Mus musculus: one gene and its partner. The protein of the gene in region 1 interacts with the protein of each later gene in a pairwise test. Links are inferred from orthologs where the notes say so. Each region holds a gene or a part of one and is shown on either strand. Other genes may lie near its edges.

Region 1 (4,497 bases):
CTACTACTACCCTAGAATTTTTGTGCAGTCACTACACTAAGGGGTTTTTATATTATTACTATGTAGCCTATAATTTTAATCTAGTCAAGACCTTTTTTTACTATAAACAAACTAATTTCACAAACTAAATTCCATAGATCCTATTTACTATACCACCATCAAAATAAAGATAAAATCTACACAATATCTATTAGCACAATACCTCAGATTTTTTTCTGTTTTTCTTAGATTATTTTCTTTATTTACATTTCAAATGTTATCCCCTTTCCTGGTTTCCCCTCTGAAAATCTCCAGCCCCTCCCCTTGCTCACCAACCCACCCACTCCTGCTTCTTGGTCCTGGCATTCCTCTACACTGGGGCACAGAGCCGTCCCAGGACCAAGAGCTTTTCCACCCATTGATGACTGACTAGGCCATCCTCTGCTACATAGGCAGCTGGAGCCATGAGTCCACCATGTGTACTCTTTGGTTGGTGGTTTAGTCCTTGGGAGCTCTGGGGGGTCTGGTTAGTTCATATTGTTCCTCCTATGGGGCTGCAAACCCTTTCAGCCCTCTTCTAGCCTTTTAAGGCTCCAGGCACACACACGGTGTACAAACATACAGGCAGGCCAACATTCATACACATAATTAAAAAAATACAAAAATCCAGGAAAAAAAAAAACCCTTTACTTGCATCACAAAATAACGTTAAATAGTTGCTGCGTACAAATTCAAAAAGGCTAACTGACTTCAACAATGTCTGCATTACATAGCCCTCTTAACCTAGAGCAGTGCTTCTTTCTCCACACATGGTCACTGCTTTTATTCCAAACTGAATGTTAAATGTAGCTACTCTCTGGGTGACTGATGGGGAGTATCTGTGAGCACTGGGGTTGGTTCTCGCTTCTACTGGAGGCTCCAGGGAGCAAATCCAGGTTATAAGGCGTCCGCAGCCAACGCTTTACTCTATGAGCCACCTCTGGCATAACATAGGCTGCCCTTTTCTTTCCCTACACATTTCTCTATAAACCTCTGTGCTTAAGACATATGTTAATAATCAAAAAACCCCAGAAAACCTTCCAAGCTCATATCCAAAAAAGGGGGGTTGCTGGATGGGAGGAACCTGTTATCAAATACTGAAAAATAGCAATTTTAAACAAAGAACACTCTGCTGTAGCCAGAATTTGTTCCATGCACAGGGGGAGGTGGGGCGGGGGTGAGGTGGAAGCTATAGTATTTTTTGAGGCAAGGCACTACATAACTGTGGCAGGTTTGGAACTTGATAAGTAGATCAGGCTATCTTTAATCTCAGAAAAATCACCTGCCTATGCCTCCAGGGTATTGGGATTAGAGGTGTGTACCACCACACCCAGCTTGTAATACTTCAGGGACCAGTTTTCTGTTCTTTTCATTGTCAACAATTATCTCCTGTACTAAACTAGTTTGGAAACCACTCTCCTAATAGTTTCCCAACTTTACTTCAGGGCCTCAGCCATTCCTAATCAAACACTTCTGGACTATGTGTAAAATCTGTGTTTCTAAGGAATTCTTCCAAGCTAATTCATGATGCTAGTCTTAGTGACCACACCTTGAGAAGTCTCATTGAGACCAAAAAATTGCAGCAGCGTCAGAAAATCCTAAGCCGACAGCCTATAGAATACAACTTTGACAGAATTTAATACAACTTTTACATAGAGTACCACTTTGATGGCACACACTATGATCTGAAGATATCTATCTGATCAACATGTTTAAAGTCCATTCAGATTTCACAGGAAGAAAACACCCCTTAGCATCTTTGTAACCTTCCTATGCCTTTTCATCCAATGACTTTAAGAACACAAGCACTAAATGTCTTTGGCTACAGTTCTTCCACGTATCATAAAACATAAATTTTCAGCTACTGTCAAGTTTTAGTTCTAACAATAAAACTTACCATGAGGTGATGGGACCACCCACCCACCTCAAAAATATTAATCCAGAATTTCTCCTGTCAAAAGGAAGTGCAGGGACAAAGAGTGGAACACAGACTGAAAGAAAGGGGCCATCCAGAAGAGTGCCCCACTTAGGGATTCATCCCATCAGCAGACACCATACCCAGACACCACTGCTGTTGCCAAGAAGCACTTGTTGACAGGACCCTGGTATAGCTGTCCCTGAGAGAGAGGCTCTGCCAGAGCCTGACCAATACAGATGAGGATGCACGCAGCAAATCATCTGACTTAGCACAGGGACCCCAACGGAGAAGTTAGGGCAAGGACTGAAGGGGTTTGCAACCCCATAGGAAGAACAACAGTATCAACCAACGAGACCCACTCCAAAGCTCCCACAGACTAAACCACTAACCAAAGAGTACACATGGCAGGTGGTATATGTAGCCCATGGCTCCAGCTGGATATGTAGCAGAGGACTGCTTTATCTGGCATCAATGAGAGGGGAGCGCCCTTGGTCCTGTGGAGGCTTGATGCCCTAGGGTAGGGGAATGCAGGAGTGCCGAGACAGAGTGGGTGGACAGGTTGGGGAGCACCCTCATAGAGGCAGGGGGAGGGGATGGGGGTTTATGGAGGGGAAACTGGGAAGGGAGATGACATTTAAAATATCAATAAATAAAATAACCAATAAAAAATGAAAAACAAACTTACCATGAGGGATATCATCAGAATAAAGGTTTTTGTAAACATCCATAGCAAAATCCACCATATTGGTATCACTAAGAAGATCTAATTTTCCTTGTAATAATTCTTTTTCATTATAAATCTGCAAGAAAAAAAAAACTTAATGAATATTTAAATTCTTCAGTTTATTTAAAAACCATACTTCACGAAACTATTTTGAAAAAGTATGTGTCTGTGTATGTGTTGGGAAGTCAGGAGAACAGGTTTCAATCCCTGAATGCCACACAAAAATGAAGAGAAATGACCTCACAAAGTGCTCCTTTGTTCTCTGACCTCCATGCATGTGCTGTGCTAACCAATGCACCCTAGGGCCCCCCACCCACCATTTTTACTTAAAGAAAGCGTCATAGGGCTAGATATACAGGTCAGTAGAAGAACACTGGTGTAGTGTATATGTATATAAAGGCATTGATTCACCACCCAGGATCACCTGCGTGAGTTTGTCCATATACAGACACAGACAGACACAGACACAGACACACACACACACACACTGTAAAAGAAAAGAAACCAATATAGGAAGCACTCAATTTACACAAAATATCCTGTCTACACAAATATTTGAAAATCAATGTCATTCCCATTTACTTCTGATCTCAATTATTGTTTTATCAAGCAATCTTTTACTTGTTCTAGGAAAGATATGCAATACACAAAAGTATCCACACCTTCTCTTCTTCTCCACACCCAGGTAATTAGGAATAGGCTCTTAAATATTTTACCTCCTTACTATCCTTTGCATCCCCATGATGACTACCCACCACTCCTTGATGTGGCCACTCCTTTACCTTTATATTTGTCTCATTTAAGAGTTGCAACCATTTAAATGCTTCTCCATCTGTACCTCTAAAATTAAACTAGAACCAATTTTGTAAGTCAACAACCTCATGACAAGGTTTTGCTTTGCAAAGGGTTCTGGAAACACATATTAACTCACAGGAAATACATTATACATATAGACTCACAAACATGAAGGCTACTTAGGATATGTTAGGAACCTGAGAGATACTTAGCCAAATAAGACTCATGTCCTGAGTTTAATCTTGCAAAGGAAAGAAAGATCTAGTAAGAATTCACAACCATGTAACACAGACTCAAACGTGAATGTTCCAAATTAGATATAAAACTCCAACAAAACAGTAACAAATGACAATCCAACTGAAATGGGTAAAACATCTTAATAGTCACTAACAAATCAAGATAATCAAATGAACAAAACAACATAAGCTCTCATTAATCAAAAGGAAGTATATATAAAAACTATGATAAAAAAACAAAACAAAAAACCTGAGAGTATCAGTCTTAGTGTGAATGAAGACTAAACAGAACATTCAAATCCTACTAGCAAGAACACAGTCATTTAAGAAAAAAGGTTTTTAAGCCGGGCGTGGTGGTTCACGCCTTTAATCCCAGCACTCGGGAGGCAGAGGCTGAGGCAGGCGAATTTCTGAGTTCGAGGCCAGCCTGGTCTACAAAGTGAGTTCCAGGACAGCCAGGGCTATACAGAGAAACCCTGTCTTGAAACCCACCCTCCCCCCCAAAAAAGAAAAAAAGGTTTTTATTTCCTGACATCATACATGCTTTGACTCACCAACTTTGTAAGATATTAAAACAAGAGTACATCTATTTAAAGTATAATTCCCAAAAATCTTTACAGTACACAGTCGTTTAGTACTAGAATGGATGAACAAACTGGTAGACTACAACAAATTAACCATCAGCACTGATGGTCAGTATTCATAACTGCCGTCACAGGGCCAGTGACTTTCACAGATGGAAAGATGACTCAGGAATTAGTTCGTGAAGCCAGGGGTGCTGGTATACATTTGTTAATACTCAGGAC
Region 2 (3,600 bases), on another chromosome or scaffold:
CGCCTGTCCTTCCTTCCCTATGATGGTCCAGTTAGATCTTGACAGCGTTCTTTTCTGAATTATCAAGGGGGTTTATCTGCAACCAAACAATCACTCTAATGATCAAATTTAGAAATGAGACAGGTTCTTTAAGCAAGAACCCAAACGAGCCCAATCAGGGTCCCTGGGAAATTGTAGAAGTGGGTCCATGTAAGACACTGTCTAGGGAGGGAAAACTAGCTCTAAGGAGGCTAGTACTCAGTCACGCAAAAAGCCGGAGTCCTTTCTAAGAAACATGGGCAGTGGGCTACTGGGCACCTCCACCAGTGACAGGAAGAGGTCAGGGCTTGCTTTGCCCTTGGGCTGAGACTGGCTCCTGGTCCCAGCATTGAGAACACAGGTTTCAGGTTCTGAGAAGTGCTGGGTCAGAAGTTAGGGAATCTTTCCATTTTTAGGAAAGAGAATGTGCTGAGACAGTAAGCAAGGGTTTTGTTTTGTTTTGTTTTGTTGTTTGTTCGTTTGTTTCATCTTAAATTCCAGGTCTGCAAAATTTCTTTGGAATATAGTGAACATGAACCACATTTATCTTTAGAAATTACTAGGTATCAAAACCTTCCTGGGTAATGAGTCCCCAGGGGGCATGAAATAAACATTGATTGTAGAAGAAGTGAAGGAGCAGGATCAAAAGATGGGCAAGAGTTGGTGAGCAGGAGAAATGAACCACACATCACCTTCCTGTGTCTGCCTGTCACCTCTGAATCTCCCACTGAGCCTTGGAGCTGGCTGTTTACTGATTCTTCATACTTCCCAGAAACACTAACAACCCAGAACTCTCCTAAAGGACCGAGGCTCCATATTGTTGTTGTGGAGACCTGTCCTAGGACAAGGATTTTTACCAAAGAGGCTAGCAAGGTGTTTCAGAGGCACTGGTGCTTAGATGAGGAGAGCTACCATCTCCTCTTTACAGTAGTAACTGGAAACATATATGGGAGATACTATTATTTCTTCCTAAAAATAGTATCAACTAGACAAGTATAAGGGAAATACTATTGTATCCTCCTTAAGATAGTATTAACTGGAAAATTATGTGGGAGGAAACAACTTCAACAAATACAGAACCAACTGCCTTTAAAAAATAACCACTACTCCCACTTCTTTTCCATTCACGGTTCCAAGACTTTCTTTTCTCCAGCGATATTCTTCACCATAGCTGAGTTACAGCCACCCAAGGCAATCAGCCACAGGCCACAACCAACAAACACTCTCGCAGAAACCAGCACAGAAGTGACTCCTGGAACACCCACTTCCTCTACATTCATCGCGCAAATGTCTATACCAGGATGGAAAAGTAGACATTCAGAGTCGATGGAGATGGAATTATTTTGTTTTGCATTTAAGGTTAATTATGGTTCTGGGAGTGGGTAAAAGTCCCCCTGATATCTGCCTGGTATTACTGGAAAATTCTGCATTGGTGATATATATATATATATATAATCTCACCTCATCAGGGCTGTCCAGGCTACAAAGACCCAGGCGATTGACCTGGTAGATATTTGTCTATTAAATATTTACAGCCTGCGACCATTTAGCTCTCTCTCTTTGGCGCCCACTTTCCTAGTCCCAGGCTCTTGCGGAACACCACAGCGTCGTTGTCCCTTCATGCACCCTCACCATCGCCATAGACCCAACCCCAGAACCCAAGGACATTTCAAAGAAGGGCGGGGGCGATCAAATTCCTTTCCCGTTTTAATCAATAAAACCCCCCTAGAAGCGTAAATATGGTGACCCCGGGACACAGGGAGATGGGAAGATCTCTTACAATTTGTCCAGGTTTAAGTTCCCAGGAACAGCAGAGAGCTCAGGAATTGGGAGTTTAAAAATAAACCATTTTACCCAACCAGCACCAGCGCCTTTAGTTTGGAAACCTGTTTCTTGTCGCCACTCTTAGCATGCCTAGGTTGAATTCCGTGACTTCTCCTGAAGTCATCAAATCATCCATTGCCTTGCCTCATAGTTCCTCCTCGCGTCCCCTTGAGAGAAGGGGAGCCCAGAAGCAAAGTCGGGACTCCCGCCCAGGACCAGCCCTCTTCCCGGAGGAGCCCGGCGCAGTCCCGGACCGTACTTACCTGCGGCGGGGCGGCGGCTCCAGAGTCGCGGCGCCCATGGCTTCGTGGGCCTCGGGCGTCCGCGCTGGGACACGCGAGTGGGTCAGCGACGCCCGGAGCCTGTCGCGCTGCAGCCTCAGCCCGGGCTGCGGTCATTGGGCCGCCGCGTCACGTGGACGGGGAGCGGGCGAGCCTCCCAGGCAAGGGTAACCCTTTACCTGCGCCTTGGCCCGCGTGCGCAGGCGACAGGGACAAGGGGACGTCCGGTGATCTATGTTTGAGTGAGTGGTCAGCGAGCCAGCCCGCATTAGTTGCTAGATCGAGCGCACATTGCTTGTCGCCCGCCCGATGGCTAGACAATCTGCTCAGACGCTGCAGTGACGGTCGTTCCTAGGGGCTACAAACTTGCCTGTGCCCCAAAGGCTATTAGTGGGACACGTGAAAGAACCCCGGTTTCAGACCCCTTCCCTTGGAGTGTCAGGATATGGGACACTTCACCCAACACACTTTACCTACGAAGGGTAGAGAACCGGTGCTTTAATCTTGAAATTCGGTTTAAGATTTCGGTCTTCGGTCCACCTGGCCCAGAAGCTGTGGAGAGCTGGCATTTCCAGAAGCCAGGAAAATGTGTTGAGCAATTGCGCCATCTAGCTTCCTCTCTTTCCTCTCCATGCTCAAGGCTCGCAGTGAGAGGATTAAAAGGCAATGCGGGGAGAAGCAACTGAGAGAACTTCCCAAAGACCTAATTTTCTCCAGCGAGTTTTGAGTTGGACATCCCCGCTGTCTTCACAGGCATTTGCCACGCTCTATGGGAGAACACTCAGTGGTTTTTTTGTCCTTTTTAGTGCTAAAATACCTTTGTGCTTTCAAATGTCGATTTACGAGGGAAATCATACGTTGTTGAATGTCATTTATTGATTTGAAGAAAAAAATTTCTTGTTAGAATAAATGATGCTCAGGTTCAATTTCCAGCCTTGTCAGAAATTCCATGGGATACTGGTCCATTTATATATGAATTAGGTTTTTCGGATCAAAAAGAGACTTTGGAATTTGTTTTGGGTTTTTAGAGTCAGTGGGGAGAAACTTTGAGGTTCAACTCAGTAGTAGTAAAGAGAGGAAGGTAAGAAACTTGATAATGCCTTTAGTTTTCTTTTAACTCTTGGGTATTTAAAGTTCTTTTAAAGTAATTGTTTTGTTGAGAACTACATACACAATTGCATCTGATTGTTGTTTACAATATCACCAAAGCTTTCCAATGCTGCCTGCCATGTTTAAAGATATTTTGGGGTGGGGGGAGGTATATATGGGAATTCTCAGATCAACGGTGTGTGTGTGTGTGTGTGTGTGTGTGTGTGTGTGTGTGTGTGTGTGTATGTGTGTGTGTGAAGGTATCTGGAGAGGTTCTCCAAGGTCGTGTTCACTCACCTGGGAATTCCCGAGCGGCACTAGTCCTTGGCTATTTCCTGCTCCAGCCACAAGGGTACCCCTTGCACGGGTACACAGGGAACTTATTTTC

What was found.
Region 2: the proteins of Eif3e (region 1) and 0610040J01Rik interact in binary tests that used the Homo sapiens proteins (3 or more experiments, as listed by UniProt). The two-hybrid records come from large-scale screens. The link is inferred for Mus musculus from reciprocal best matches to the Homo sapiens genes EIF3E and PGCKA1.

The regions. Positions count from the first base shown.
Region 1 is NC_000081.6:43,275,687-43,280,183, forward strand, and holds part of Eif3e (eukaryotic translation initiation factor 3 subunit E), read right to left. Parts: intron 2,737-4,497; coding exon 2,622-2,736; intron 1-2,621. UniProt on the Homo sapiens protein: Component of the eukaryotic translation initiation factor 3 (eIF-3) complex, which is required for several steps in the initiation of protein synthesis.
Region 2 is NC_000071.6:63,811,101-63,814,700, reverse strand, and holds the start of 0610040J01Rik (uncharacterized protein C4orf19 homolog), read right to left. Parts: upstream 2,207-3,600; 5' UTR 2,106-2,206; intron 1-2,105. UniProt on the Homo sapiens protein: Acts as a tumor suppressor. Acts as a tumor suppressor for colorectal cancer cell proliferation by targeting KEAP1/USP17/ELK1/CDK6 axis.